2 linked regions of the Arabidopsis thaliana genome follow. The protein of the gene in region 2 purifies or fractionates together with the protein of the main gene of each other region. This does not show direct contact. Each region holds a gene or a part of one and is shown on either strand. Other genes may lie near its edges. The genes, in order: PSAF and STN7.

Region 1 (15,098 bases), about 15 Mb from region 2:
TAATTGATAATTTTTTAGTTATATTAGAACCAGCAATTTTAAAAAGCAAAGTTCTGGTTTTAGTTGAGTGAAGTGCTGTCCCTGACCTACAACAGTACAACCTAACATACTAGTGTTTTAGACATTAATACTCATTAACAAAAATATTTGTTTTAGACACTAAAACTGGACCGGGTTTGGATTTGAGTATTATGTTTATGTATTTTTTGTTGGCGAAAAATCAATCTTTGTCTGAAAAGCTACATAGCCTTGACTACTATGGAAAAAGAAAATTTATCCACAATGTTACATGTATCGTATTTAACAATTTAGATATAACAAACCAAATATATAATAGGAATTTCGATCACATATGTATAGCACTTTCTTTTTTATTGTTTTACGAACTTTTTTTGCTAGTTACCCGGTTCATCAAAATTTAATTTGTTGACTGTGGGAGTCATATATCTTGAGTTTGTTTGGCCAATAATCTAAAGCTAATGGATGAACGATCAGGAAGATGCAAACTACATTATCCATCAATTACTCCAAGTCGTGGCCAAAGGCAATATTTTCTCATCAAAGTAAGAATTCAACGTCTAACAAATATTCAAATCAATTTCTGCATTTGCAGGGAAGGAGAATGAAGAAAATGAAGTGGCAAGCAGTGTAAAACTATATACGATTAGAAAAAATATAACAAATTTTAGCGAATACGATTATAAAATTATATACCCAACATATTCTTTGTATGTATATTTTTTAACATAAGTAGTGAGCATTAATGTTGTCGACGAAAATTTCATTGTTAGGTAGGGGCCATAATGATATGGAAGTGATCTTCTGCTTAATTAATTGTAGTTTTAAAGTCCATGACCAGTTCTTTTCATTGAGAAATAAATTCCTCTCCAATCTAAATCTAGTTTTAGATTTTTGTTTACCATTTTTTTATTTGAATTTCCATCAACCGAAAGAGCTTTTCTTTTGGTTTGCTTTATTTCTTTTTTCATGCTCTTTCAACCGTCAAAGTAACGTCTCTAGTCTCTTTGTCTACTTCAGTTAACAGTCTTCTACTCTCTCTCTTTCTTTTATCTTTTCTCTTTTTGTTTGAACCTCTTGCCTTGAGGAACAAAGTGTTGAAACATAAATTAAGAGATGCAATTTGTAAGAATTCATACACACAAAAGATATAGTCGGAACATTGGATTATGTTTTTCAATCTAAGTAACGGAACATAGGTTCATATACTGAATTTGTTAATGATTTTTAAAAAAAATCTCATACAGTATATATCGTTTGTATAAAATTTATTAGATTTAAGTGATAATTTGATTGATTAAAGGGAAGCTAATCATCAATATCATGCTGAATACTTTTGATCATGAGAGTTGCTTTTTGATTATATTATAACTAACTTCTTGGGATGATTAACTTAAAACTATATTAATTTCATTTTTAAAATGGTTTAGTTAGGTATACTATTAACTCATGGTTTGATTGGTAATTTTTAACCGCCTCGTCTGTAACCGAAACGCTTTGAAAGTTATCAATAAATAAAGCGATTAAAAGAAGCGGTTGGAATAAGTAGATTGTTGTAGAGAGATGTTGGGAGAGAAAAAAAAATAAGACGGTTGGATTTGTTTTTTATTTATTTATAAATTCACATATATTAATCATAATTTAATTTCTTTTTATTATTTTTATTTCAACGTTCCTATTATTTGACCGCTTGTTATCAATCATAACCATAATTTTACAGCTCATTTTAATTTATTCACCTTCTCTTCTGCTTGCTCTAACAATTTTGTTCAACAACTGCTAAAAAAACTGTTAACTATATTTGTGAACGATGTTATCAATGGAACCCTCAGTCGTTTGGGTTGAGGAAATTAGAAAGTAACATTATTAAGTCAGGGAGAGGTTACAAAAAGAAGGGACAATAATAGGTAATCAATAGGGTTGTTGCATTCTTAATTTGACAAATTAACTACCACTGATTTTTATAATTACAACAAGAGTTGACCAATTGTAATAATAACACTCATGATGTAATGACAAAATTATATATTGCATGAGTAGTTTGTACATTATATTTCGTAAAAATGACTAATTCAAGGACCCCATATAATGATATATATACTCTACTTCTTAAGTAAAGTTACCCAAGTTTTGTTCCAAAAAAAAACGTATAGTTACCTAAGTATGACTATTAGAAGGGGGCTATTTAATTTAAGGATTGTCAAGAAATATTAAAAACTTTTCAAACAAGTGTTTTTTTATAATGTTAATTTATCCTCTTTACCTTTTAATTCAAATGTTGTTTTATATATAACTTAAATTTTGTTTGCTAACAAGTATAGCTTTAGGTTTTCAATATAGATTTTTGATAAAACTATCGTTTTAATGTATGAATAATGAAAAAAAAATAAATATAATAATAACTTAATAAGGGGTAAAATCCAAAGTTTGTTTTAGAAAGAAAAAAAAATATGTGAAAATTTTAAATGACACTTACTGTGGAACAGGTGGAGTATTACTCTTTAATTAACCACATTTTAGGTTATATTTTCCTAGACAAAGAATCCATAGGGATAAGGAGTGAATCCTGAACAAAACCCAATTGAGCCCAATGAATAAAAAAGACATCCAAAGTAGGTTTGAAGGAAAGGATAGTCCATGCTCCCTCCATGTAGAGTGAGTGATGGTAAGTAAATGTGTCTTATGAAGCTATCGACACCAAGTTGGAGATAAACAAAATTGAAAAGCCAATGTACGTATGATGTTGATTCAGGATTAAAAATTTATAATATGGTTATAAAGTAACATATATCGTGGATTTGAAATCTGAAAAAGTCACGTACTGTATGTTGAATATGTAAGGTGTGTTAATTGTAAATCATTATATAATAACAGGTTCAAAGAAAACGAGTAGCCACCTGCCGATGCAAATTTTTTTTTGCCAATTACAGACAAATCAAAGATTTGGGATTGGAGAGGAGAAGATCTATTGAAACCGACACATTAGGTCCAAAACATTTCATTTTAATTATTATGATTTAACGAAATAGTAAAATACATATATCAACCTTTTTGGTCCGGTCCCTGTTCTTACGTCTGTGATCATAAAGTATAGAGTGATTTTTTATTTTTTTTCATTATACAAATTACAAATGACTAATTTAATTAATTAGTGAACTTTTAATTTGTCGATAACCAATAAGAATGATGGAAAACGGCAAAAGAGTCGACTGTTGAAGTTTGTCGGAAAGACACTCCACCAAAATATAAATACAAATCTTATCACTAGTGGAAACTGTCGAGTGTGTGTAGTTCTCTTTTCCTTCTAATAAAAGAATATTATCTTTCTAAATTCTTCCAAATTCATTTTGGAATTTTCTTTCCTTTTTCTTTTTGTTGACATGAAATTTTGGAGTCTTCTTCTATCGCCAATTACGACTAAAAAAACGATTTTATATATATCAACATAGCTCTAACAAGAACATGATAATCGCAAATATACATAGATTTGCCTATTTGTACACAAGCAAAGTTAGTTTTAATACTCAGTATATTACATCTCATGAAAAGAATTTACAGTTTTTTCTATTAAAGCTGTGGGAGTTTTCTTCTAAAATGTTTTTTTTTGTCGTCCTTGTAAAATGTTCTACATTCGTCATTTTCAGGCTATCTTTGATTTCGAAAGCTGTGGGCGTTTTCTTTTTTTAATTTTTTTAATTTTTTTTTTTTTTTGTCTTTTTCTACGAAAATAAAATAGCGTGCACTGTATTGTTTCTTTCAACTTTATTTTTTGACTAGTGAAAGACTAGACATTTTGTTGCCCTGCCCCTATATTTTTTGTGTTTATTTTAAGGTTGTTTTTTCTCTTTTTATAATGACCGTAAAATGAGTTTTTACAAAATCTGCTTCAAATATGTAATGAAAACCTTGATAATATGTAAATGTACTAAAAACAAAATCTTGATATGGGTACATGTGAAAATAGTATATTTCTGTTCTAAGAATATACTGTTTTATGTTCTAAAATATCAACAAATAGATATCTTTGCATTTTTTTTTATACATCAATATTAGTATTACCTACATTGTCTAAGAGATGTAACCCAACTTATGTCGCAACTAGAACTACATCTCAGAAATCACCGAGCCGAGAGAAAATTGTAAGAGTCCTCGACCAGCAAAACGTAGGAACATCAACTCAAAGCAGTCGAGAATAAGAACCACTGACTTGCATCAAAACAGAAGATCTAACCACACCACACAGAATCCGAAAAGAAGACATCCACCATCGTTTAAACTTTCAACCCTTGACCCAACCACCGGTGATAAAGACTTGTCCATTATAGTTTACTAAAGTTTATGATCAAACTTAAAATATCTGTTGTTAGATTGATACCTCTAATTCCTTTGAATTGCTTCTTAGATTTCCACTTTACCCTTCCACGATTTTTAAGCAATGGAAAATTAAGTTTCATTTGTTTCAGATTTTAATATTAATCCCCTTCTATGCAAATTGAGGGACCACGTAGAAAGTTGTGAGAATCTCAATACACAAAAGATATAGAAACAATGATTACATGCACAAGCACGAGGCCATAAATTTCCTTATCCTATACACATTTTCAATAAAGATGTAACATTCCAAACAGAAAACCCTCTTGTAGCTCACTCTACAAAAAAAAGAGTATAGAATTCCAATATTAAAGTTTATAGGTCGACTATTTCAAAACCAATTGCTATAAAGTAAATTGATTAATATTTTTATACTCTCTTCGATTTATAATATAAGTTGTTTTGGACCAATTTTTTTGTTTTACAATTAAATTGTTTTTAAGTTTTTATGCAAACTATATATTTATTTTAATATTTTATAATTATTTATATTATGCAGTCTCTTTTGTGATTGGTTGAACTTTTTAAAAGTAAATATTCTTAATCTTCGTACTTTTAGGTAAAACAACTTATATTGTGAAACGGAGGGAGTATATCATTTACAATTTCTCTTTATTTAGTTTTGTGGTGATTCCGAATATTAATTACAACTTGTACCATTTAATTCAACCATATTCGAAGAAAACATTAAAGGCAAAACAAATTAAGGGGAAAAAGAAATCAAAAGTTAAAAAAAAAAATTAAGACCAATGAGAATAGATAAGGGGTAAAAGACAAAAAGAGAATATAAAAAAAACAAATAGCATTTGGCGCCAAAAGTAAAACTAAAATGGTCATGTCACGTGATGTTAATTTTTGCTCTACGACCAAAGCAAAACAAACCTAAAGTTTTCCAAATCTCTGGGTCCCACTCTCAGATGTGCTGACTTTTATTTTTTTTACTTTTGTCTTAAATCTTTGGAAATTTTCAGTTTTAATTTAATTTAATTCATCTCTCTTTCTCACTCTATAAATCCCCACAGATCCGTCACACTTCACCTAGAGACCCTCCCACAGCTTTCTCGATAACTGACAATCCAACGGTTGAGATTCAGTTCTTCTAGATAAATTCACATATCCAAAGGACACGTGGCGGCGAGAGATGAAAGAAAGTAGCCGGAAGCAAGGAGCTGCGTCACCGTGTGCTGCGTGTAAGCTTTTGCGGCGGCGGTGCGCTCAAGATTGCGTTTTCTCGCCGTATTTTCCGGCCGATGAGCCTCAGAAATTTGCTAATGTTCATAGAGTGTTCGGTGCTAGCAACGTCAACAAGATGCTTCAGGTTTCTTTCTTCTTGTTCTTCTTAAGAATATCTAAAACGTGCTTACTCATATGTTGGGTTAGGTTTAATTAGGATGATTTTCTTGTTTCTTATTTTAGATGAGACATTACTATCATTTCCATAACTTTTTATTGACAACTACCACATGGGCCGACCCGTTTATATTATAAGTTTAGGGATTTAAAAACAAAATTGTTGAATTTTAAGAATTTAGGAATATGTTACATTTATTAGCTGATGTTGAATTTTAACCATATTAACTTTTGTTAGCTAATGTTAATGATATGATTTACATTTCTTAGCTAGCTGATGTAGAGTCTACATTTGAGATGGATTATATAAATTTTATATAGTCTTGCGAGATTAATTGGTCTAGTGGCTGACAAAATGTTTTAAAAACTCAACAGGAATTACCAATCCACCAGCGAGGGGACGCTGTGAGCAGCATGGTTTACGAGGCTAATGCAAGAGTGCGGGATCCGGTTTACGGTTGCGTTGGGGCAATTTCGTCCCTCCAGCAACAGATAGATGTGTTGCAAGCTCAGCTAGCTCTAGCTCAAGCTGAGGTGGTGCATCTACGTGTACGCCAGTCGACTAATTTCCCAGGGCACGGACTATGCCCGGATAGTCCGAGTAGCAGCGGGTCACCGTCTTCGAAGCAAGTGAGTCCACAGGACAACAAGGGCATGTTTAGCCATATGGACATTGTGGATGAAGCCAGTTTGGGAGAGTCTATGTGGTCTTGCTAGTCAATAATGCTCTCTTTCTGCTACTGCAATTTCCTCTTCCTTTTTTGGGAAATTTCGGGATTATTATATATTAAATTTAGGGGTAGGATATGAAAATGCTCTGTTTTGACTACAGAGTGAAATTATTAACATGATATAGATACATAAAAATACTAAATATATTTATATATTATAAATCTCTCTCTATATATTTATTAGTATTTGTAACTTTGTAATTCCGGGGTATTTGGGATTTGGTGTATGTGTAGGACCTTTGGATCATGATCCGGTAGGGTTATTTTGATCATTTCCAACCGAGGAGGGATCTTTGTTATTGACCTAATGTAAATTTGTGAGATATATTATTTATCTATATCTATATACAATTATGATCATGTAACCCATGGTGTGTGCTTGACTCTGTGAGCATATTATCGTGTAATGGTCATCTTTGATACTAGCTAAGTCTAGCTTAGCAATTAGCACTAAGCACTTGTATGGGCCTGAATTTTTATTATGCAAACTTATGGCCCATTTGTCTTTATTTTTTGGTTTCCTTGCAAACATTTGCCATTTGATAGTCGCTGATAGAATCGCTCGCATATGAAGGAAACAGAAAGACCGGACCGGAGCATGTGCTTGTGGTAAGAAATTTACAGTGAGCTTAAGAAGAAACACAAGTAATTTAGTCTATTATAGTTCAAGAGCTTCTCCTGCATTCATGCAAATGCAAGAGTGGTAAAATAGCATTATACTAAGTAAATTTGGTTATGCTCCTGTGCGTTATATCAGGATATTCCCTTCAAGCAATTGAGCTTCACATAGCAATCACTAGACCGCAAAATCACAATCTGTCAATCACCATTTTAGCCATAATTCTTTCTACTTGCGCAATCCAAATTTTATAAGGTTTTCGACAATGCATTGTTTTTCAATAAGTACAATGGAAAACAAAGAGATTAGAGAGAGTAACACAAAAGCAGAAAACAAGTTCCCTTTTTAAACATCCTTAGCAATGAGATCACCATTGAGAAACTCTCTGTAGGCAGCAACGGGCCAAATGAAACCACGGAAGATGATCCGACTAGCCAAAGGAACATCGATGATGATCTCTTTCATCGCGGGTTTCTTCTCACCACTAATAGCTATTAAGTAGCTTCTTCCAACCCACCCGATCCATCCAGCAATGTAGAGGAAAAGAATCCCTGGAGTAATGAACTCTCCCCAATGCCGCTGGTCTCCGTTCACTATCAAGTGCGGTAAACCGTCTGACCCGCATAACAATCCGTACTTCCCGTAGTTGTCGAACCTAACATACATTCATAAGCACATCAACTTCAAACCAATCCACAGTTCCACAAGCTCCTCAATAGATCATATCAATGATCAAATTTAACATGTCTAGCAACTTCGAAAACTCACTAACTCACCAAAAAAATCATACTAAAGCAATGGATCTAGCAAGTAATTCACTAAAACAGAGAAAAACTCTGTTTCAGAACAGAGGAAAGCTCTGTTTCAGAACAGAGAAAAAGCTCTGGTTTAACGAAGAAATAGAAATGGAAGACGAACCTGCGTTTGGTTTTCTCGATCTGAGCATTGAGAGCAAGAGCAGGGGCAGATTCAGGAGCGTAGAGCTTAAGAGAAGATTCAAGCTTCTTGATCTGTTGCTTCTCTCTTTTAGCGAACTGTTTTGAGTCCTTGCAAGGAGTCAAACCTGAGATATCAGCGACAGCTGGCATAGGAGCAGAGAGGAGGATGGAAGAGAGGGCGACGGCGGCGGAGAAAGCTTTCATGGATTGAGGTGTGGAGGAGGAGGATTTGTCATCGGAGCAGACGAATCTTGCGGAGGATTTAGGTACGGATTGAGTGAGAGATTTGTTAGATCTCGGGTTGAGAACGAGATTCGCCGGGATAGTGAGCGACATGGCGCTTTGTCGGGTTCTTTGGAGATTTCGAATTCTAGGGTTCTGGAGTTTTGGGTGAAGTGTGGAGAGAAGACTTATGGGAGGAGCTTTAGATTCTTGAGGGGATTAGTGGAGGGAGAGGAAGATAAGAGAAGTGGTCTTGGGGTGATGAGGTGGCGTGTTGTGATTGGTTGATAAGTAACATGTCACTGGATAAGAGATTTTGCCGCGGATTTTAATAGTTTTGTCATTTTGATGTTCAAGATATGTGGACTACACACGACTTATCTTTTATTTATTTTTAATATCTATACATATTATATATACACTGAAAATAATCATATATATATATATATGTAGCAAAAAAAAAAAGAGATGTAGTTTTTTAGTCCTGATTAGTTTTTTTTTTGGCAAATAGTCCTGATTAGTAAGACTGCAAAATTGAGTCTTTTATTGGTTAACCACATAATAAGAAAATGGGATCATGAGTTTGCAATATCAAAGAATTAAATCTATATATGACCAAAATAAACATTAGCAGAATTACAACTCCTTCTACCATTCCGCCGGAAGGAGGCTACATTTTTTGTAATGTTTGTTTGAAATGCTTCACAGATATCTTCTGATAAGATCTCTTGATCTGTCTCTGAAGTCTCAACACCTTAATTAGGGTTTCATCTCTTAAGATATGCTTTTCTTTAAAGTTTTACCATTTTTTCAATGTATTAACTGTCTATTTCCTGGCAGAAGAAACAAATTTCTTCACATTTACCCATATATATATTGTTTATAGCAAAAATATTTCGTCTTTTTTTTTTTGGTCTAATTATATCCGAGAGGAGAATTTGGTTGTGTTACCACATCATACTTTGAAGTTTGAACTCGTTGAATTAATAACACGCAGTTCTGATATATATTATTCTTTTGTGAAAGAAGTTCTGATATATTTCTAGATGTTTTTTTTCCTTTTTTTTCTTTTCTAGATGTTTCTTATAGAATAATCAATGTGTAAACCATTACTAGCTTTCTTATTTACATCAAAGAGATAGGAAAATACACAAATAAAGAAGGAAATTCATCCCAAGAAAACTAAAGACAATCAAAAGATTACAAGTTACAACAATTCACAATAAGTCAAACAAAAGCATCTTCCAATAGAGACAAGCAAGACAGACAAAGAAGAGAAAATGAAGGAAAATCAGACGTTGTGAGAATTGTCGGGCTTGGCGTGTGGAGACAACGGCGGAGAGGAGGCGGCGATAGCACCGGGAGGCGGAGCTGGAGCTCCATACACCTGAGGATTTGTACGGATCTCACGACGGCCGCGAGATTTTCCGAGGAAGTAGCAGCCAAATCCGAGAAGTAGACAGAAGAAAATTAGAGGCAGAGATATGACCACAACCAAACCCATCGATCTTGACTCTTGAGATCTATGTTCAATCTTCTTTCTGATTGATTTTTATTCTTGGACTCTTGTTCTTGCTTTGATTCTACTTCACATGTATTTATATGTATGAGTTTGTGGGAGGCTCTGGAAGGATCCGATTCTGTCCGCAACGTTTATGTCTTGTAAAGCTTTAAAGCTTAACGTTTAAATCTCAACGGTCATCTTTTTTTTTGGTCGGCCCATCCATACGATTTCTTCTAGTTTTTATAATCACATTAGTCATGTCTCATGTGCTTTTCTGGCTATGAAAGTATAGAGAATCAAACTCAAGTTGACAAGTTAAGTTACTTAGAAAATTAAAGTAAAAATTGTTAAATGTGATGGACACTCATTGGATTTGACGATTTGTAACCACTATTTCATTGTAATGCAAATAAATATGGGACTATTGATGGACTCATGCAACCAGCAATCTCAATCGGCCTGGTCCGATCTTACACATAGCTCGATCCTATTTTCACATGTCTAGCCTCTTTCTTGAATGAAAGATATTCATCATAAATAGCTAAATCCCAAATAAATATGTTAAAGTACGATTCGATGTTAAACAAAACAAAATGATTCGATATTTAACAGATTATTGGTAAAATGATCCAAACCCAGTGAAACAGCATAATATTCAAAGTATCATATCCAAATTGCAATCACTTTTTTCCCATGAACTCCAACAAGCCATACAAAGAGAAAAAGATATCTTCAAGAGTTACTTCTCAGAGAAGACCAAAACCACCCCTAAGGGCAAGAACCAGATGAAGAACAGAGCCTCCCTCTATGTTGTAGTCCTTTGCCGTTTTGTCATCAGCTAGCTGTTTTCCGGCGTAGATTAGCCTGCAAACATCCATGAGATATATAAGCATCCTAGAAATACTAATGAGAATCACTGTTATATGAGACAGCATAGATTATCAGCTTGCACGCAGAGTAGAATCGTTTGATGCCAAAAGCATAAGTAAACACACTCGAAAGGAGCTGCAATTTTCTCAAGAGGGAAGCAGCCAGTCACTAAAACATGAAAATCAAGTCAATGAACCGCAACTTATACAATCAAGTAAAAGAGCTGAGCTGAAAGGAGCTGCAATTTTCACAAGAGGGGCAAGTCACTAAAACATGAAACTCAAGTCAATAAACTGCAACCTATCTTATACAATCAGTTTTGACTCAACCACACAAACAACTCTAAGAGAGCTGAGACAGATATCACAAAGAGTTAATATAGTTCAAGACTCAATGTTCCCAAGGCAAAAACTTTGCGACTCAATTCTTCTGAAGTAACTGGAAAAAAAGAAGTTATTTACCTTTGTTGAACAGGAGGGATACCTTCTTTCTCCTCAACACGTTCCTTAATCCGATCAATAGTATCGGTTGGTTCGATATCAATCTCAATTTCCTTCCCTGTGAGAGTCTTCACCTTAATCATAGTCCCACCCCTAAGCCTCAATACCAAGTGAAGAGTCGATTCTTTCTGAATGTTGTAATCCGCTAATGTTCTACCATCTTCAAGCTGCTTACCAGCAAATATCAACCTCTGTTGATCAGGTGGTATTCCCTCTTTGTCCTGTTTTCATCAAATCCCATCCATTCATAAACCAATTAGAAGAAGACCAAATCAAAAGATCATTAACAATAATCTTAATCCAATCTTCTTAAACTCAGAAACAATTAACCATTCTCAAGCAATTCACATACCTTCAAGTGTACCATAAAACATAAACAAATACGAAATTAAGCAAACACATGAAGGATTAAGAGAGCCTTTGTGCTTACTGTTACACAGAAATCTAAAGAAATCTTAACATCGATCGCTAGATAATCGGGGAAAGAAAACCTAAAAATCAATCAAACAAAGCAAACCAATCTGTGTCTCCAACAATCAAACAAATTCATAGTGCAAAACCCTAGAATCCTAAGAAAAGCACGAGGAGGTGGAATTGGGAGACGGAGAAAGAGAGAAAGAGAAACCTGAATTTTGGCTTTGACATTGTCGATGGTGTCGCTGCTTTCGACCTCTAGGGTTATGGTTTTTCCGGTGAGGGTTTTGACGAAGATCTGCATTTTTTTTTTCCTTTCTTCGCTGAAATGGTGTTTATGAATATTATTACGGACGGGAAAAGTATTATATATATACAAATAAAATTTGGGATATAGTTTTGAGGATTTTGGAATAAAAATACTTTTTGAAAGATTTGGAATAAATCCTTTGATAGAATTCGTAATTAGCTTTTGGGCTACGCTATTATTTCTTCTCCATTTCTTATATAATTTTACTAACAATTTTAAAAATTATCTTTAAATCAAATATATTAATGTGGCTTTAAATATATTGAGATTTTTTTGTTTGTTTGTTATTTTAGGATATTTAACTTTTAAAAACAAAAATTAAAAGAGTTTTTAGATTTTGTACTAAAATTAGTTTTCTTAGATTTTAAGAAAATATGGGGACATTGAATTTTTTTTTTAGTTTTAGAACCAAAAACGAAAACAACAAATTGTTGACATTCAATTTTGTTGGAATCTAGAGCTTAGTGCAAAACCCACTAGTCTCTACATACTATGGACCATGTTGTGGCAGTGAGTGGTTTGACGCGAAACCTCTTAAATACTATGGTCAAAGAGATCAAGCTATGTTCAATTTTAGACGGTGATAAACCTGAAAGGTCAAATGGAAGAATCTTAAAAGCTCGACAACATTTCATTGGACTTGAATGGGTTGTCTCTCTAGCTAGCGTTTTGTTATTATAAACGCAGACTCATCGTGAAAGAATTCACCCTTTCATGTAGGTATTGGAGACGCTTCACGCTTGTTTGGACCATATGTGTATCCCAATGGCATCATACCAAAATTAAAGACATCTCTCTAACCGTTTTCTTCTCAACCACTAAAAAGCCTTTTCACCATCTTTATTCAAACTTGTTCACATATAGAACCCATGTGATTTTAAAAGTATGAACCATATGATAGATTACAAGATGGTCCACATTGACGTGAAGAGCTCATATAAAAGATGGCCTTTATTTCTTGTCAATTTATCACAAAGAGGTCTCTCATTAAGCCCAATGGATCGGATAATTTTAAATCCAACCCAATAGATCACTTTTCTCAATTCTCTATTCTAAGGTTTTTAAGCTTTGGTTTCTACATATAAATTCAATTAATTTTCTGCTGATTTTTTATTTTCACTGACATATGTTAGCTTTCTGAAAGTTGGTTTCAGTCAATTGAAAATTGAAATCAGTTATTCAACACCACAATAAAGATGCAACGAAAAAACAAAAACAAGTTACACATAGCTAACGCCTTACAATGCATGAGAGGACTTTATAAAATAGGTGATTCTTATCCATATTTTTGTATGTCTACATCTTGAGTTGTTGAATAAACGTGGTTTGTTCTGGTTTACTCCAAGTTGGTGAGTCTCTTAACATTATAGCATCACCGATGGCTTTTGGTCAGTTTTGGTATGCTTAATCAATCTCCATAAAATAGAACAGATAATAGGTAAATGAACCATTATAAATCTCATCAAACTTAAATATTAACTTAAAATCAAATGATAAAATGAATCGACTCCCCAATGTATATATGAATAAAAGGTTTAAATGCATGTAGCGGACGAAATTCGCTAAACGATTAGCGAATTAGATTATTATATTTTTGGGATAGATAACAATCTATTGTATACCAAATTTATTTCTATGTACAAACGGATCATAGTTAGTCCGCATCAGATTTGTTATATTTTTTGACATGTACTACTATAAATTATACTAGAGGTTCACTCCATAAACGGATTCGTCCACTCCAACTATCGTAACCATTCGTATCCAAAATTTTATTTTATTTGATATGTGAAATTTCTAATAATTGTACGTTGATTCATAAAGGAGAGAGAGATATTCCATATTTCCACAACCAAACAGATTTTTATTTTTAACTACGAGTTGAATAAAAATTATATAAAGTTGTATACCATAAATTAAGATTAAAAAATTCTGACGTGTATTGTCTTTTCATTTGCAGTGCAGGTATTAAAAAATAACGACAAGATGACACTTTTCCACCAGAAAAACGGGAAAACAGAAAATAAAAAAAGTTCCGTATACTAAAGGAAAAGAATAATAATAATAATAATAATAATATCACAAAAAAAATACGTCAGCAAAAATTCGGTTGACTCATTCTTGGTAAAACATGAACCGAAACCGGTTCAAGTCCATCAGGAATCTCAACATTCCAAATCTTCGCCGGCTCCGCCGCAACATCCACCACAACAATTTTCCCATCACCAGTAACAACACAAAGTTTACCGGAATCCGCCGTTACTTGCGTAGCTCCTTTAAGCATCTCTTCTCCACCTTCAACCACAACCACTTCTCTCCACTCTCTCTTCTCATCATCGTACTTTCTCACTGTCCCTCTCCTCTCATCCACCGAATAAAGAATCTCCTCCTCCATCGCCGCAACCGGGCCTCTCCATCCAACCAACATCTCCTCCGGCATAGGTTCCCAATCATCTTTAACGACGTCGTATATAGCTCCTTCTTTAACCGCGTCTCCTTTAACATTTACCATTAAAAGCTTTCTTCTATATCCAACAGCGTCTATAGCTTCTCGACTAAACCGTAAATCTCTCATATCTCTCAATTTCTCCCAATTAAACCGGTGGTTATTCCGGTTTTGTTCGGTTAGATCTAATTTCTCGACAGATTTCGCGACGGTTGATGAGAACTGAGAACTAATTCCGCTTGCGATGTAGATAGCTCCGTCGCAAGCTCCGGTGGCGCACCACCGTCTTGGAGATCCGATTCGAGGACCGGAGCTCCAGGATGACGAAATTGGATCGAAAATTAACGGGTGAGAGATCGCCGGAGAGAGTTGTTGGTTACTTCCGGCGATGAGAATGAGTTTTCCGGCGGCGGAGACGCATTGAATCGGTAAATTAAAGGAGATAAACGACGGATGACGGTAAAGAATCCGGTGAAGAGGCGGGTCAGGTGGTGGAGGAGGAAGCGGATACCATTTTGAAGAAACCGGGTTGAAACACATAAACCGGACTGACGGGTTGACCCGACCCGTATCCGATGTTGAATCGACGAAAAGAGCGTAGAGTGACGGAAACGAAGGAAATTCCGGCGAGTAAAGAAGACGGCGCCACCGTGTACACACGGCGGAGAGTAACGACGGACGGTGAACGAGAGACAGACAGATCTCTGAGATGTGATCGGGAAGTCCTTCGATTAAAGCGGAGTTTTCATTTCCGGTGACTGTTCTTCTTCGTTTCGCCGGCGGTGATTCTGCGGCGGTGGTTGAC
Region 2 (16,788 bases):
AATATGTGGTCTCCAAGATATTGGTGGACATGTTATGAAAATTCCATTTGTGACCTTTCAAATCATCCTTTTCATGCGCTTAGAGGTACAACACAGACAAATCCATTGCTTTTGAAACATTTACGAATTCCCTGGTTGGAGCTAATTCTCTTTAATCTTACTTCAGGGAACGCCAGCTTCTGCCAAAAACATTCCGATTTTAGTTCTGTTTGTACCTCTTTTTCTGTTACAAGGAGCTGGGGTACTTTTTGCTATGTATAGATTGGTTGAGAAATCAGTCTTATTAATAAATAGTGGTAGTGGTTCTTATGGAAGATATTTTACCGCAACATCATCAGCTCGTGAATTCCTGGGATTCTTTCAACATGGTGCAAGGTACGTTAGCAGAAACGAACTATACATAGGAATCTATGGGGAATAAGTCCTCCTAAGTACTAATCTTTCTCATATTGTAAATCACAGATTACTTGGCTGGTGGTCTATCGATGAAGGAAGTCGGGAAGAACAAGCAAGGCTCTACTCTGGAGAAGCTACTGGGTAAAGCTCTCATCTTTTGCTAACAAGTCGTCAATTTGGCTCTGTTAACAACAATTTTGTTTGACTCAGATACAACACCTTCTCACCAGAGGTTGTGAAGAAAATGCCAAAGTCTGATCTTGTTGAAGAGGTAAGTTACACATAAGTCATTTCCTTTTTAATATCTGAAACCAAAGCAAAATCTTTAATCTTTAAATCCCTCACCAGATATGGAGACTTCAAGCTGCATTGAGTGAGCAAACAGATATCACCAGTTATAGCCAGCAAGAGTACGAAAGGCTTCAAAACGTACTCCCTCCACTCATTTTCTCTGTTTAGTAACCTCCACAGAAGTAACGATTTGCTTAACCCAATAAATTACAAAATTTTGAATTTCAGGAGAAGATTCTTTGTAGAGTTTGCTTTGAAGATCCGATCAACGTGGTTCTACTCCCATGTAGACATCACGTCCTCTGCAGGTAAACCGAAGCTCCTTCTTTGTTCTCTATCTCACTTTAACCGCATAGTAGAATTAGCATTTGGCTATAATTGATATTTTACTGATACATTTGGTTTTCAGTACATGCTGCGAGAAATGCAAGAAATGTCCGATTTGTCGTGTCCTGATCGAGGAGCGTATGCCTGTATACGATGTGTAGATTTCAGAGCTCCAATCCAGAAATGAAGAATACATTTCTTGCTTGTTTGGTTTTGTTTTAGTAATGAAGCAAGCACTATATATATATATGTTACAACTTGCATAGGAAAAATTCTGATTCGTTTTCGAGTGGATGTAAATAATACTGTAAACCATCGTATATGTCATGAATCTTCTTTCTCTCTTTTTTTTTTTTTGATCATACAATTTGCAAAGATTCATACAAGTGGTAACGGTTAAGAAATAAAACATATTACTGTTAAAGGATTTTGAATCGAGGTTAGGCAGTGAGCATCCAAAAAAGCTTTTCTGTTCTCTGCATGTTTAAAGGAACAAGGGAATGATCAACTAAGAATATGGCCACAAACCGATGAGATTGATCAACAGATTGGGTATTTGATCAAAGTTACATATTGGGCCTCAACTATGTATTTCTAATGTGATTCTAACATGGTTCTTCTTTTTGGTATGTTTGGGCTGTTAGCCGAATGTGACTTAAAAGGCTTTGTAACAATTTATTTCTCATGCATTTAATAGAAAAATCAATTATAAAAAAACAATATCAAAACAAATTTTGTGTTTTAAAAGATCTCTAAACTCTTATTTTCTGGTATTTTTGTCTATAGTCCGCCGCATTTTTATATAAAAAGAGTTGGTGATAATGTAATTGATTTTTGTTATTATTCTGTTGTGAATTAAACTCATTTTGACAAAAAAGAATTAGAATTGTACCTTTATAAATGGTGAAGAAAATATGATGGATCATGCATGTTATTTATTCTATTTCTTCTCAATATATTTTGATAGTAAAAAAATTAGAATTGTACCTTTATAAATTGTTTGGTGTGAACTGTGAAGGTCATTATATCGGAAGCAAAATTAAAGAAACTTAATCAGCAATAAACAGCAAAAGATATCGATTAATAAGTTACAAATATACATCTGAAAAAACCTTCTTTGGGATGAAAAATCTACTACAAAAAAGGAATACATATATAGCTCCGTTTAGAAGCCAATACATATAAAAGCTTTCTTCCCAAGGGTTGGTTATAAGTAAGACCCGCAACAAAAAAAGAGGAAAAAGGAAGAAAATCTTTGGTTAGTCTTCATTAAGCTGATGATGATGATGTTGATAATGATTTGATTTTAGTCATGCCAACAAAGAAGCATGACAACACACCTCCTTATGATGTAAAGCTTAGCCTTTTGCTCTCTAACCACTCCTCCCACTCCACGGCTCCACATCTTCCTCTTTGTTCCTCCTACACTCGAACCGGTCGTCTTCATTTTCTCTATAACGATCACAAATCAAGAATGTGTAATTTGTTTTGGAACTGAATGTGAAAGAGAGAGATATAAATGATGTTATGGAGTATGAAGAAGGTGATACATGAAGAGGAGTTATATATAGAAGTGAGAAAAAGGTGGTGGCTAAGGACAGAAACCGAACCGTACCGAACTAGACCGGTCCATGAAAGAGGCAACGAGTGGGTCCGTTGGGGTTTGTGCACTGTTCCCTAACCCACCGGACACTGTGCCCCTCCATACCCACGTGGACCCCATCTTTTGAAGGAATCTTTGCCCTAAATGTGATTATTTATCCTCTATCACATGCTTTTGCTTCTCTCTCTTCATGAAAACATTAACCAAACCCAAAATTGTTAAAGTCGGATCCACTCAATTACCATTTTCTGTAACCAATGAATACTATACCGAATTCGATTGGTTTAGTCTTTCATATAATGGATTTTGTCTAAAATCTTAAGTGTATCAGTCTTTGATATGGTTTTGTCTAAAATCCTAAGTGTATACCAACCCGTATTCGAAGTTAGCAAAAGATGTGACCAACCAAAATTGTCGGGAACTACTATACTAACCATCCAAAATCGACAAGTGGCCTGGTCCCCGCAACATATTGTAAATCATATTTGAGATTTAATGATGATTGCGATTGATAATAATAACTAATGAAGAATAACATTAAATTCCTTTAATTAATAGACATAGGTTAAATAGTTGTTGCGACTTGTGAGCTAGTGATATTTCCATAGCGACCAATTGTAGTTTAGAAGTAATATATACACTAGTAAAATCTGGTAGCCACATGGAGAAATATTCAAAGGATCGAATTTTATGTTTAGTCTATTTCAGTCAGATATAAATTATTGGTAGACAAATTGTATGAAGTTCTGTAGAGTATAAAAATGCATTGCGCCGAAATTGGTGATAGAAACAATTAAACAAACGTCAATAACAGTATTAAAGACCAAACTATATAACTAAATGTGGGACAGTTAGGCGTTAATTAGGTGGCATAATCCTAAGTTCTAGATTCTTCTAAATATAATAAGTGAGATTGTATCAATCTTTTACCAAAAACCCGACAAATAGTTGGTATGATTTGAGAAGTAAATCATCTTCTTCTTTTTTTCAATTCACATTAATCGTTAACAACTCAAAACAAAGGGTATTAAAATTAGCACTGGAAGATCTTATCCTACAGCTATATCACAGCTTCATAGTTAACGTTAAGATTGAAGTTAATTAAATAATTAGCTACACAAATAACCAAGTAGAGCTAGGTGTGGTTTGATGTGGTTTACTGGCTGTTGTCATTGGTTAAAGTGAAGTCCTCGAATATGGAGAGTGGAACCGCACGTGAGGTTCTCGTGATTCACAAAATGCCTTTAGCTTTTGGTCGTCTAAAAGAACAAGTTTTAGAAAATACTAAAAGTTACACTTATCTTTTTTAATCTATGGTTAAGTATGTGAGTTGGTCTCTGTCATTCTTCTTTCTTTGAAATCTTGTCGTCCTTTTATGAACCAACTTTTTCTTCACCTCTAGTGGTTGTGACCAATTTAAACAAATTAATTAGTATTTGCGTTTCTGTGTACGTAATTAATAAAAAGTTACGTACGTGTGCTTTGTGCGATGGATAAACGTGAGAGTGATCATTATACCTTTTAGATCCAACAAAGCTCAAACAACTACATTCATGAATGATATACAAAAAAAAAAAACTACATTCATGAATGATATATATACCATTTTTATACGGTTTCATAACGTGAAAAAATGATTCTCATATACACCTTTTCATCGTCATCAATTCTTATATAATTTTGAAAAATGATTCCACTAGTTGGTGGTATGCCAAAAAAACAGAACTAGAAGAAAAAATTAAACCACTTTCTGTTAACGTTTTACGACTATTCAACTAGAAGCTATTCGACCATTGAACTATCTATTCTGCTATATTAATTCGAAGCCCTACTCCAAAAAATGTTAGATGCTATTGTTATATTGGGTTATAATATAAAATCTGCTAAAAGCAAGCCATAAAATTATGTATTAGAGTATTAAATGCATGTGCTCTGAGTGAAAAAAAAAAAAGGTTGAGTTAGAGAAACGACTCCAGCTTCAATGGCGTACGAACGGAATTTGTTTAGACAAATTAAAATAGACAATTACTTACCTCGAGAGCCAGCAAGCTATATTGCTTGACCAGAGACTTCTCTGACTCTTCGTGCGTAGCTCATGGTTTTTCACTTCTCAGGTCCGAAGCCCGAAAGGGTAACGTGCTGTTCAAGATACCTTCTTTCTGTTTTTGTTTTTTTAATTGAGGGTTTCACAAATTCCTAGGACATAAACAAGTATTCACAAAGTTATGAAACTTCAGAAACAGAGTCAGAGACTCCCAAGTTTGTGGATTTAGGTACAATACATCTTTTTCTTTAAGATTACTTGATTTTACAAGTAGTAGAAATTTTACTAAGGGCTAATAAGATATACATTGAGATTTACACTATCGAAACCGAAATGAAAAATGATATATTGTAAGTAGAGTCTGTCCTCACTCCTCTCTGGGGATCCATCGGTTCCACCAAACGGTCTTGCGGCCATCGCTAATCTCATCTATGGTCTCAGTGACTGTTTTCACAAGCTTCCTCTGAAGCCTAAGTGCTGATGCAAGAGCATTTCTTTGCGCATTCGCTTTCTTTCGAGGCTCTTTCTCCTATAATATTACAAAAAGAGAAACAATGGTTAAGGCTTGAGGAGGTACTCGAAGAAAATGAAAAGAGTATAGATTGACAACGAACCCTGAGTTCTTGGAGTTGTGTTTCTGTGAATCCACCATCTTTTTCTGTCCCATTTTTTGCCATTAACTGTATTACCCAATTTGCTGCTTCACTGTAGTCCTGTTGTGTAGCCCTGAAGTATTGCATTCTCAAGTTTTGCATGACGGACAACGCGAGCAATCCTTGTCTATCGAAATATGGGTGAGCAAGAGCTGCTTTTGCGCTGATTCTTTGTCTTGCTTTGTACCGGACCATCGATGTTAGAAGTTCCCATCCGATTCCACCGTCTAGATCTACAAGCTCGAACCCTCTACGGAGATCAGCGCTTGCACGAGGCTCCACTAGTTTTCTCCAAGCTGTTAAGTCATAGTCACATCTTTTCAGCTGGCGGTTGAACTGAATGAGGTTGCTGTCAGATCGTAAGGATGGGAATGCCTGGAATGGTAAAGCATGATGAGAATATTAACAGATAGTATGTATGATGGATTCGTTTTCCATCACAAGGAAGCTGATAAGAACGAAACTGGTTTCTGCTCTGATAATCGAAGAAGGGATGATAAAAAACAAGAACAATCAAAACAACAGAACCAAAAGTAATCCAGGGCAATGAATTCTAGAGCATTCCCTACTCTCCCAAGGCTCAAACTAACACCCCTAGAAACCTGAAAGAGCTCCTATTTTACTCTAATCCTAGTCACTGACTGATGAACGCATTTTTAACATTAATTGACACAACCAGAACACACGGACTATGGGCTTGTCAAAAGATAGTTGAACATGCGTGAGTCGAAAATCCAGAGAAAACTAAAGCCAATTGGTGAATCGCTGCTTACCATTTGAAGGAAGATGAGGCCAATGCTATAGATATCGAACCTATCTGGCAAATTCATCTGTTTGGACAAAACAATAAGTATCAAATTCCAACACTTAAGTTTATGAAACTAGGATAGCTTTATATCAACTAAGGTCGCATAGTCAAACAATTAAGTTTGCACCTGCCACAGGACAGGGGAAAGTGCAGCTGCAACAGGTGCTGAAGGTGCAGATGGAGTTTGGGTGCTCATGATGTATTGCTCAGGTGCTGCATACCTGAAAGCAACAACCCGAAAAGAAAGATACTTATTAACGGAGAAACGTGAAGTTTACAACAACAGAAAGTTCACATTTATGATCCTTGCCAGAGAAAGATACAAATTTTGAAAAGAAAAAGACCTTGGATCAAGGAGAAACTCTTTTGGAATGTAGTTAATTCCCACTCTCAAATCAGCTGCAGCTCCAAGATCGATAATCTTGAAAGAACGAGAACCTGCTCAAGTTTTAGTCGACACAAAACATGAGTCCTCATCTTTTCATTGGGTTCATTGCTCAAAAAGGTTCAAGAACTCAGATGATTTTACCTTCTGAGAAAATAATGTTCTGAGGCTTAACATCCCTATGGATAATCCCAGTTGAGTGAAGACCATCCAATGCAAACAAGAGTTGTCTCATGATAGTCTGAATAATTTTGTTTTCTCGTTCCAACCCTTTAGGCAAGTCTTGAACTTTCCCAAGGATGATAGTTTCTACCTATATCATCACCTTAGAATGTGACAAAACATATAACATAACTACAAAAGGATAAATAACCATGAAGAATCACATACATTATAAGGAAATTCTTTACTCTGCATCAAACCAGCAAGTGTTGATTCTCCTTCATATTTCCATAACAGCCAATACTCAGGTCCCTTCTTTGAAGACTTCTATACCAATCTCAACAAACACCAAAATCATAAATCAAGGAAGTCGAAGGAAAACATCATTTCAGAGGAAGAGAAATTACATCGAGAAATCCATAAACAAAATCAGCACAGCTATTCCCACAAGCTCTTCGAACCCTCTCGTTCATCCAAATCTCCACCGCACCATACTCAGTCGCCTTCTTCAATACATACTCACCCTCCTATCAACAAAGACCATGATAAGGTTCAATATAGGATAGTGAAACTCTATAAACAATTTGATCAAAGCTTTTATTTTTACCTCATTAGAACGTTTCTTAGATAATGAGACTTTATAAACAACACCAAAAGAACCTTCCCCTAATTTCTTCCCAACAACAAAATCATCCTACACAAAAACCAAAACCTAATCCCATCAAAATCAACCAAACCAAGAGACAAAACCCAAAAACAATCCTCAAATCATCATAAAAATCAAACCTTTCTAAAAGTAGGTCGAAACAATCTCTCAACAAAAGCAAGAACAAACATATCGAAAAACCCAGGAGCAACACCAGGTGTTGCCCATAGATACGAAAGAGCAGTGAGAGCTAAAGCTACTCCAGGAGCAGTGATCGTTAAACCATTAGATTTCGGCAAAGTACTTCGATATATCATATCACCACACTCCATAACCGTACATGGAAGTCCAACTCCAACTCCGATGAAGAGATTGTGAACCGTATCGATCAATTGAGCGCGACAACTGGAATTGAGCTTAACCGTTGGTTTAAAACTCAAAATCGGTGAAGTTAGAGAGAAAGGTTTGAGTTTTTTGCCGAGAAACGGTGAGGGAGTTCCGATGTAAGCTCCTCCCGGAGATATTGTAGCCATGGCGGAATTTTTTTCACCGGAAGAATTTTGTTGGAAGACAAAAAATCAAAATTCCTTAAACAGTCGTTGATTTCGCACCACTAGTTTTTTTTTTTTTTTTTTTCTGTTCATTCAAATTAATTAGTAGATTTACACCACAAAGGACACGTCGATTAAAATCAGATTCGGATATGTAAGGTTTAATAAACGGGCTTATTTTTAGGCCCATTAATGATGAAGTGCTTATTAAATGGGCTTCTCATGTTGTTTTAGTGATAAGATCCATAAATCTAATTCTTCGCCACCCGATCATAAACTCTGGTTTAGAAAAGTCCCCATCAATTATCGATTTGAAGCTAAGTAAGACTCGGCTAATCTTAAGTTTAAATTTAAATTTGTTTTTCTTTCAGTCTTCCTAAAATGTATTTACGTCAATTGATGTGTATCACAAAATCTCACATTTTTAAATATATGATATTATATGGTATACCATTAAGCCATTGAAATAATAGAAATCAACTTTCTTGATGAAGTGTTTTGACCATTTCCGTACAACTATTATATGACAACGATTTGGCAAATTTGTTTACTTCGTTGACCTCGATGTACGTAAGCTAATTGACTTCATAATCCTGTTTGCGAGATAGTTAATTATATTTTCCCTTTCATAATTGTATATTATATGAAATTGGTGCTTTTAAACTCTTAACTAACATGCTACTCCCTATCAAAGTAATACTATATACTATCATTCTACAATAATGACTGTAGTAAAGTTTGTCACGCAATTGACCGACGCATTTATAAATATTTCTTGCCAACATTTAAGGCCAAAACTTGATGGTTCGTTATGAATCGATATAACAAATCACTGTTTGACATAGAAAAAACAAATACTATCAAATGTTAGACAAATGTTATATATAGTCCATATATATAATTACTTTCATTACTTGTATACTTTCTACTAGTTTTGTTGATGTTATGATACTCGTTTCGAATAATCAAGCGGATATTCAAAGATTTAATGCAGCTATCTGATCTTCTTAAGATATAAGAATTTTTTTTGACAAACATATATTTGATCACTATTTGGTGAATTGACAATTTGTATTTGCTTTACTAATTACGAAATTCTTTTATTTTGAAGCGGGTCGTACATCGACGAATGACATAACGGATAAATAACAGATGAGAAATATTATTCCCACCGATGACAAGTTATACAATGAATCCATAACGTGTATACTGATAAAAATATTTGTATTAGCACTGGAAAAGAAATGTGAAAAGAATCGTAAGAACATTGACCATAATGTACGCGCAACATATACAGCTTGTCTGTATCGACGTGGATACGTGATCAAAAGATACAGTCAAATATATTCTCATTTGCCTCACATGATATTATCATAGTACTAATCACTACATTAAGTCACGAATTAGCTAAACTAATCAATGATAATTTTATTTTCAGTTAGTTTTATTTATTTGTTGTTTTGCTCGGCTTTATGAACAGAACATCAAGTTGGACAAAGTCGCTTCATTTCCAGATAGTCACTTTTTTTTTTTTTTTTTTTTTTTTCAGATAGTCACTTTTACATAAAGTATTGATTTGATAAACTTTCAAGTTTATTTAGTTTTGAGTAAATCTAACAAATGCAAATTAGATTATTTGATTCAGCAACATGAAAAAAAAAATTAGCTTATCGTCTAATATTTTTACATAAATTCATTGTTGACAATATTATAAGTGAGATCATTTATATATATTGTAAACGGAAACAATAATATACTTATGTGTAAACATTACTTAGTGAGGTCATGGAAACTCGCTAACGAGTGGCTGCTGCAATTTACAAAAGTTTGATGTGTATAATATTTAATTAGTCGCACGCTAGTTAATATTTAAGTTTTCTTCTTTTCACTTTTGTATCCAATTATATAGTATGTAGGAGCCACAAAATTGAATCTATTAGTTAAATTAAGTTGGTTCTGGTGGTATAATCATTTAATTAAGTTAGTTCTGGTGGTCCAAAACTAGGCCACGAGTTTCATTATTCCACCAGAATTATATAATTTAGTTAGTCAAGTCTGATTAGCCGAAGATGGAAATACGAAAAAATGTCAATAATACATGAAGTCTTTGTCTTCTTACCAAAACTGTACGATCTCAACGATGGAAGATAAGAATCTAAAACCAACGAGTGAGATGGAATCGGAATATTACTAAAATTAGGATGAGATGAGGTTTGGGTCCATACTTAACAGTGACAAATGACAATGATGGAGCTGACTTTTTCGTTCTTAAAACGTATCACAAGTTTTCTCCTACTTTAAATTTCATCTCCAAATTGTTGACCAAACGACATCGTCTGTTGCGACACCTTACCCCGATGTTTTTTCCTACGTTGCATGGACCTTTTCTTATACTTTCAAATAATTATTTGTCTTTTTTTCTCAACATTTATATCCACATTTTAACGATTTTCTCAGGATATTTTCTATCAATATGCTTAATTTTCTTTCTTTTTTTGTTAAAGAAATTAATTCCCATAGTTAACATGAGAGGGTTTAGCAAAATATGCTTAATTTTCTTGTTCGCTGATGTTTTTATTTTTATTTATTATTACTGATTCAGCATTCAAACTTATCATGTGATTTGGATGGTTATTGAAGTTTCATATTAATTGATAAATTAAATGTGTTGGGATGATGAGAGGTGATATAGAAATACATATTGTAGTGTTTAAATAGATATGGATTCAAGTATATAATTAATTCTTCTTAATCAAATTAATTTGAGTTGGACTAGTAGTCTAGTAAGTAGTAAGAGAACATATTCGGATGGTATCTTAAATTTATGAAATACAGTGTGTTTTCAGTTTTTATTGGTAGCAACAAATTTATCGGTTCATACCTCAAAGATAGTATTATACGTGTCTACGATTATATAAAAAAATCAATACAAAATAATTGTTCATTCAAGAAACAATCGGACGATATGAACATTATAGTTACAAACTAGTAAAAAGCTATAAATATGTAAAGTGAAAACTATTTAAAAGGGTGAAAATTAAAACGTATCAACGTTGGAGTGTTTCAAAAATATTTGGTTGGATAAGCTCAAACTAGTCAAATTGTCTCCCCTCCCAAGCGGGAACATCACGCCATGTCCACAATAAATCCATTTTTCTTTCTCTCAAATATATATAGAGATACATACATCGATACTATTCTATATATTATGTAACAAATTAGAAATATCATATACCACATGGTAAGTTGTATAAAGAGAATTATTAGTGTTTGCTTATTGCAAAATTAATACAAAACATTTTCTATTGAAGAGCTACAAATTAAGAAGGAAACTGAAAAATATAATAAAAAGCAGAATATGTTACGATATTTGTATGAGTGTATGAGACAACAGTATCAGATAAGATCATAATCCTTGCGACCAACCTATCCAAAAGTCTCTTTTTTGTTTTCTAATCAATTTACAAAACATTTAACCAATAAAAATATAAAGATGGTGAAAAAAATATGGTCATACAACAATTGCTTCAAAGGGGGATGAACTAAAATATACCAAAAAAAGAAGTGAGGATAGGTTCATGTGAGCCCCCATCCCACTTGACCCTCTTGGTAGGTCCACATTTACCATGAACATGTAACCCATTGGTTATTCATTTGTATGTATTGTTTTTTGTCAATGACTTAATTTTATTTTATTTTCTTCTTCTCTGACTTTTTTTTGTTTATCTGACTCTTCTATGTATGTCAAAATGTAGCAAGATAATTGAACATATTTGGATTGTTGAAAAACATATCGATATTTAGTGAATTAGTTTCTCCTCCAAGCATCTAGAATGTCATAACTGTGTTGAATTGTACATAAAATTTGATATGGATTGATCATTGATAATAAATCAATGAATTAATGATCTATTAGAATATGAACTTTTCATTCAAATTTAATTGATAATAAGTGGATTTGTCTATATGTAATATTTTAGTCAAAAAAATTGTTTCTTTTCAATGCGATATTATTATCCTTAAAACGTTTTCTCGAGATAATTTTTTTCCGAGCCATTAATTTTAGTATGTTCAGATATAGATCGACAGAAAAACTATAATTACGTCGGACCAATTGTAGATTGGATTGAATACATATGGATCAGATTCTAATACCATATTAGAATATGAGGTATCTAATTCAAAACCAACTATTAATAAATAGATTGACTCATATATGTCTTATATACTAGTCAAGATTTCTTTGTCTTTTCTAATGTGGGATATTATTATCCCTAATATCATGAATAAAATCAAGAGTTAATGTTTAACTATATCTAATCTATACTACCCATCTTTTTTCGGAAACTATATATAAGTTATAAAACCAAGAAATTCTCGTTATCCAATAAAAATAATAATTTTGACTATGGTTATATATCAGTTTCAACAACTTATATGATGATTGATGAGAACCTTATTTTATGAAAGTACGTGGTAATGTGTTGTAAGAAAATGTTCTTACGCCGTTGAAATATTTTTCCAAAAAATGTACATAACAAACGTACGATATGTATGTAAAAGCCGTGGTACTACATTTATTTTTGTCTGCCCTTCTCGGAAACTTCCTTCAAAGTTATTTTTGCCGTTCTTGAAAGCGTTGACCCTACCTTTCCATTTTTAAAATGTTCTCTCATTTTGACCCATTTTTTTCCATAAACCAATCAAATTTTAACTTTCAAAAACATAAAACTAATTAGATATAAAATAATAACATGTACATGCACTTGCCTCGTCCATTCCTCACATCATCATATGTCTTTGTATATATATAGATGAACCAAAGAAATGAAAAAGTAACAACGTCACCTAAATCTCTCTCACCCAATTTGTGTTTCTTCTTTCTGCTAAAAGGTTATAATTTTTGTTTCTTGGTTTGGTGAGAATCTTCAAGAAACTGAAACAAAGAAAATGGATTCTAGTTGCATAGACGAGATAAGTTCCTCCACTTCAGAATCTTTCTCCGCCACCACCGCCAAGAAGCTCTCTCCTCCTCCCGCGGCGGCGTTACGCCTCTACCGGATGGGAAGCGGCGGGAGCAGCGTCGTGTTGGATCCCGAGAACGGCCTAGAGACGGAGTCACGAAAGCTACCATCTTCAAAATACAAAGGTGTTGTTCCTCAGCCTAACGGAAGATGGGGAGCTCAGATCTACGAGAAGCACCAACGAGTATGGCTCGGGACTTTCAACGAGCAAGAAGAAGCTGCTCGTTCCTACGACATCGCAGCTTGTAGATTCCGTGGCCGCGACGCCGTCGTCAACTTCAAGAACGTTCTGGAAGACGGCGATTTAGCTTTTCTTGAAGCTCACTCAAAGGCCGAGATCGTCGACATGTTGAGAAAACACACTTACGCCGACGAGCTTGAACAGAACAATAAACGGCAGTTGTTTCTCTCCGTCGACGCTAACGGAAAACGTAACGGATCGAGTACTACTCAAAACGACAAAGTTTTAAAGACGCGTGAAGTTCTTTTCGAGAAGGCTGTTACACCTAGCGACGTTGGGAAGCTAAACCGTCTCGTGATACCTAAACAACACGCCGAGAAACACTTTCCGTTACCGTCACCGTCACCGGCAGTGACTAAAGGAGTTTTGATCAACTTCGAAGACGTTAACGGTAAAGTGTGGAGGTTCCGTTACTCATACTGGAACAGTAGTCAAAGTTACGTGTTGACCAAGGGATGGAGTCGATTCGTCAAGGAGAAGAATCTTCGAGCCGGTGATGTTGTTACTTTCGAGAGATCGACCGGACTAGAGCGGCAGTTATATATTGATTGGAAAGTTCGGTCTGGTCCGAGAGAAAACCCGGTTCAGGTGGTGGTTCGGCTTTTCGGAGTTGATATCTTTAATGTGACCACCGTGAAGCCAAACGACGTCGTGGCCGTTTGCGGTGGAAAGAGATCTCGAGATGTTGATGATATGTTTGCGTTACGGTGTTCCAAGAAGCAGGCGATAATCAATGCTTTGTGACATATTTCCTTTTCCGATTTTATGCTTTCGTTTTTTAATTTTTTTTTTTTGTCAAGTTGTGTAGGTTGTGATTCATGCTAGGTTGTATTTAGGAAAAGAGATAAGACCAAAAAATAAATTGGAACAATGGTTTTGTGGAAAAGTGGTAAATAGACCTACCTCATAGTAAAACGTTACCGGATACAACCTAAATGTTTATCCGTTCCTAAAACTAGATGAATCAAATTAATTAACTATCTAAAATTGCATGATAAATCGGAAAAAGAGGATGAATTCTTGGCAATTTCATCCATTACCGTACAAGGACTTATTTCTCTTACTTGGCAACTAAAGGATGCTCATAGGTGTCTTAATGATCTCACATAGCAAGTTAGCAACCTTTTACTCTCTTTTTTTCCAAGATTACTCTACTCTAGGTGTTGCTTCTGTAATTCCTTTATTTTCATTTCTAATGATATTTACAAGTTTTGCAAAAAAAAAAAAAAAAAAAAGTTAGCAACCTTGGAGTCTCGACCAATCTTGAGGGGAGGATATGGCATGAATGATGTAATTGTAGAGTCATTCTCGAAATTCACCACTTCATAGCCCACATTGTCAAGGCACCATTCAAGCTTACAAATTAGCAGTAGTCTGCCTCTTATCGTCTCGAAGTTTTCTGGTATTGGTATAAGCTAGGTTTCGTTCCCCAAAGGTCGAACCATTAATAAATGACTGAAATCTTTTAACCTCAAAACAGAAATATGTAAACTGAACGAAATCCAAAATATAGTAATGTGTTCCCGAACAGATTCAAGCGACTTATAGTGCTTCTGGCAAACCTCACACGACTAGGCTGGTGAACGGAATGGTACGTAACCATTGCTAGAGGTTGTATGGCTTCAGTTTGTTCAGTTCAAGTACAAGAATCTTGGGGATTTTTGTGAACATTGCGGTATGATTAGCCATCGGAAGTGTGAAAAAGTCGCAAAACAGAGATGTTTGACCCGCGCGGGTTTAAAACGATACGATTCTCAACGGGTTGGTAAGGGTTTATCCGTGAAGTCTCACTACTCCCAGTCGTATGTTGACATGGGTTTACTGTTCGAGGAGACACTTACTTACGCTCAGTTCATGGTAGAGGTTAGGGTTGATGTTGTTTACGCAAGCGAGCATGAGTGGGGCGGCAAGAAACTGATTCGTTCCTTGTTGGTAAGTAAGTATGATTATTGCTTCGGGTTTCCTTGTTTCCCGACACGATTCATTAATGATGTTTTACCATTTGAAGAGATAAGATCTCACATCTGGCGAGGTTGACGACCGAGGACAAGGCCAGCATCGTCCGTGGACTAGCAGATCACTTAATGAAGCAGAGGAGGACTTGGTCAAAGCAGAGATGGGTTCCTCTGTTGTTCATGTCGAGAAAAAAGGAATGGTACTGATAAATTTGATGAGGGTAAGAACACAAAGGTGTTTAGGAAAAATTATAATAGACTCTGATATGAATAATTGTACAAGATACATTCTCTTATATAGAGATGAAAGCGTCGATTATCTAGTGAGGGTTATTAGAGGTGTGATGAATGAGTTCGGTTTTACTCACTTCCCGGATTCTTATATTAATCGTTTGGTGACATGGGTGAAAAACTCCAACTACTTTTCACCAAATTTTCCAAAAGATTGCATCCTGATAACAAATGTGTGGCAGTGCTTGGCCCTGACATGGATTTGTTTGGCACATGTTGTATATGTCAAGAAGATTTCTTTCTTGGGATGGAAGCAACCGTTACTTCTTCTTGTTCTCATGTTTTCCATACTTTCTGCATTGAAGACTGGATGCAACAATCTCAAAATTGTCCACTTTGTCGTATCCTGCTTCCAGTATCAAGTAGGTGAGATCGAGTCTTGACGTCTTTAGCCTGTTTCCATGCTAAATTCTTAGAAACTCTATCTTTTACATGAGCAGAATTTTGCTTTGCTTGTCTCTTTATCAACCTTAAATTTCATTATACATTTTTTGAAAAGAATTATTTCTTCTTTCGAACTTACAATATTGGAGTTTGAGTTTTTGCATATATAGTGCAATTATTTTATTGATTTTGTTGCATGCACAACCATAAATATAAAGTCAAACCAAAAAAACAACTACAGACTCAGATCAATTGAAAATCATTAGAATAAGGTTTTAAACATTCAAGAACCCTATAGTTTTAAAAATGTAGAAATAAATAAGGGAAAGAATAACATCAAATTAAATTTTTTCTTTCTTATATAAATAAAGATCAGAAATAGATTATTTTCTCCATTTTTTAGTTTCGTTGTTGATGAATCATGTATTCACAAATCTGCAATTTCTTCTAACTTCTCCATCAGCCAAGCTTTCAGAGTTCAAAATGTTCCCCATCTTTACCATCGACTTCGAGAATTGCTCGAAGAAAGCCACTGGATCCTCCGCATACTTGCTCACGATTCGCCGCGTTTGTATCCCGAACAAGCTCGTGTACATCTCCTGGTCCGAATTCAGTAACCCTTCTCCTCTTAGCAGTGTGTGGTAGATCGAGTTATCGAAGAGATTCGGCGTCACATTGTCTATCGCCGTCACGTTACTATCACCTTCTCCGCTACTCGCCGGACAAATCTCTCGAAGACTTGCCAAGTACGTCTCCGAAACTGGATTTAGGGCTGACGTCACTTGAAAATCTCCATAAATTCGGGATCGGAAGTTGCGACATTGTGCTTTTCCGATCGTGTGCGCTCCTAGGAGATAGATTATTGGTCAAGTTAGGGTTTTAGTAATCCGGTTTACGACATTTTATATCATATTATATTCAATCATATGGTTTTAACTTCTATTACAAGGAATTTCGGTTTAGTTTGGTTAAGAGGATTGATCTTACCTATAAGAGCGACCATGTCTTCAACCGAGAGACCTTGAGA

Evidence for each region.
Region 1: the proteins of STN7 (region 2) and PSAF fractionate together in Arabidopsis thaliana (co-fractionation; one study listed by BioGRID). This does not show direct contact.

What each region holds. Positions count from the first base shown.
Region 1 is NC_003070.9:11,207,577-11,222,674, forward strand, and holds PSAF (photosystem I subunit F), read right to left. Parts: upstream 8,566-15,098; 5' UTR 8,364-8,565; coding exon 8,008-8,363; intron 7,745-8,007; coding exon 7,435-7,744; 3' UTR 7,100-7,434; downstream 1-7,099. Other genes in the region: LBD4 (LOB domain-containing protein 4), read left to right, coding at 5,531-5,707, 6,115-6,456; AT1G31335 (uncharacterized protein), read right to left, coding at 9,541-9,753; RUB1 (uncharacterized protein), read right to left, coding at 10,500-10,617, 11,085-11,344, 11,749-11,841; KUF1 (KAR-UP F-box 1), read right to left, coding at 13,943-15,098. UniProt on the Arabidopsis thaliana protein: Participates in efficiency of electron transfer from plastocyanin to P700 (or cytochrome c553 in algae and cyanobacteria). This plastocyanin-docking protein contributes to the specific association of plastocyanin to PSI.
Region 2 is NC_003070.9:25,867,626-25,884,413, forward strand, and holds STN7 (Serine/Threonine kinase domain protein), read right to left. Parts: upstream 8,038-16,788; 5' UTR 7,849-8,037; coding exon 7,456-7,848; intron 7,364-7,455; coding exon 7,277-7,363; intron 7,197-7,276; coding exon 7,077-7,196; intron 6,997-7,076; coding exon 6,898-6,996; intron 6,821-6,897; coding exon 6,652-6,820; intron 6,561-6,651; coding exon 6,467-6,560; intron 6,344-6,466; coding exon 6,250-6,343; intron 6,145-6,249; coding exon 6,088-6,144; intron 5,690-6,087; coding exon 5,276-5,689; intron 5,191-5,275; coding exon 5,029-5,190; 3' UTR 4,787-5,028; downstream 1-4,786. Other genes in the region: AT1G68820 (Transmembrane Fragile-X-F-associated protein), read left to right, coding at 1-85, 167-375, 463-537, 607-667, 745-825, 916-995, 1,097-1,175; RTFL15 (ROTUNDIFOLIA like 15), read right to left, coding at 2,321-2,461; RAV2 (uncharacterized protein), read left to right, coding at 12,817-13,875; AT1G68845 (uncharacterized protein), read left to right, coding at 14,809-15,071, 15,140-15,293; AT1G68850 (Peroxidase superfamily protein), read right to left, coding at 16,181-16,608, 16,749-16,788. UniProt on the Arabidopsis thaliana protein: Serine/threonine protein kinase required for state transition by phosphorylating light-harvesting complex II outer antennae (LCHII).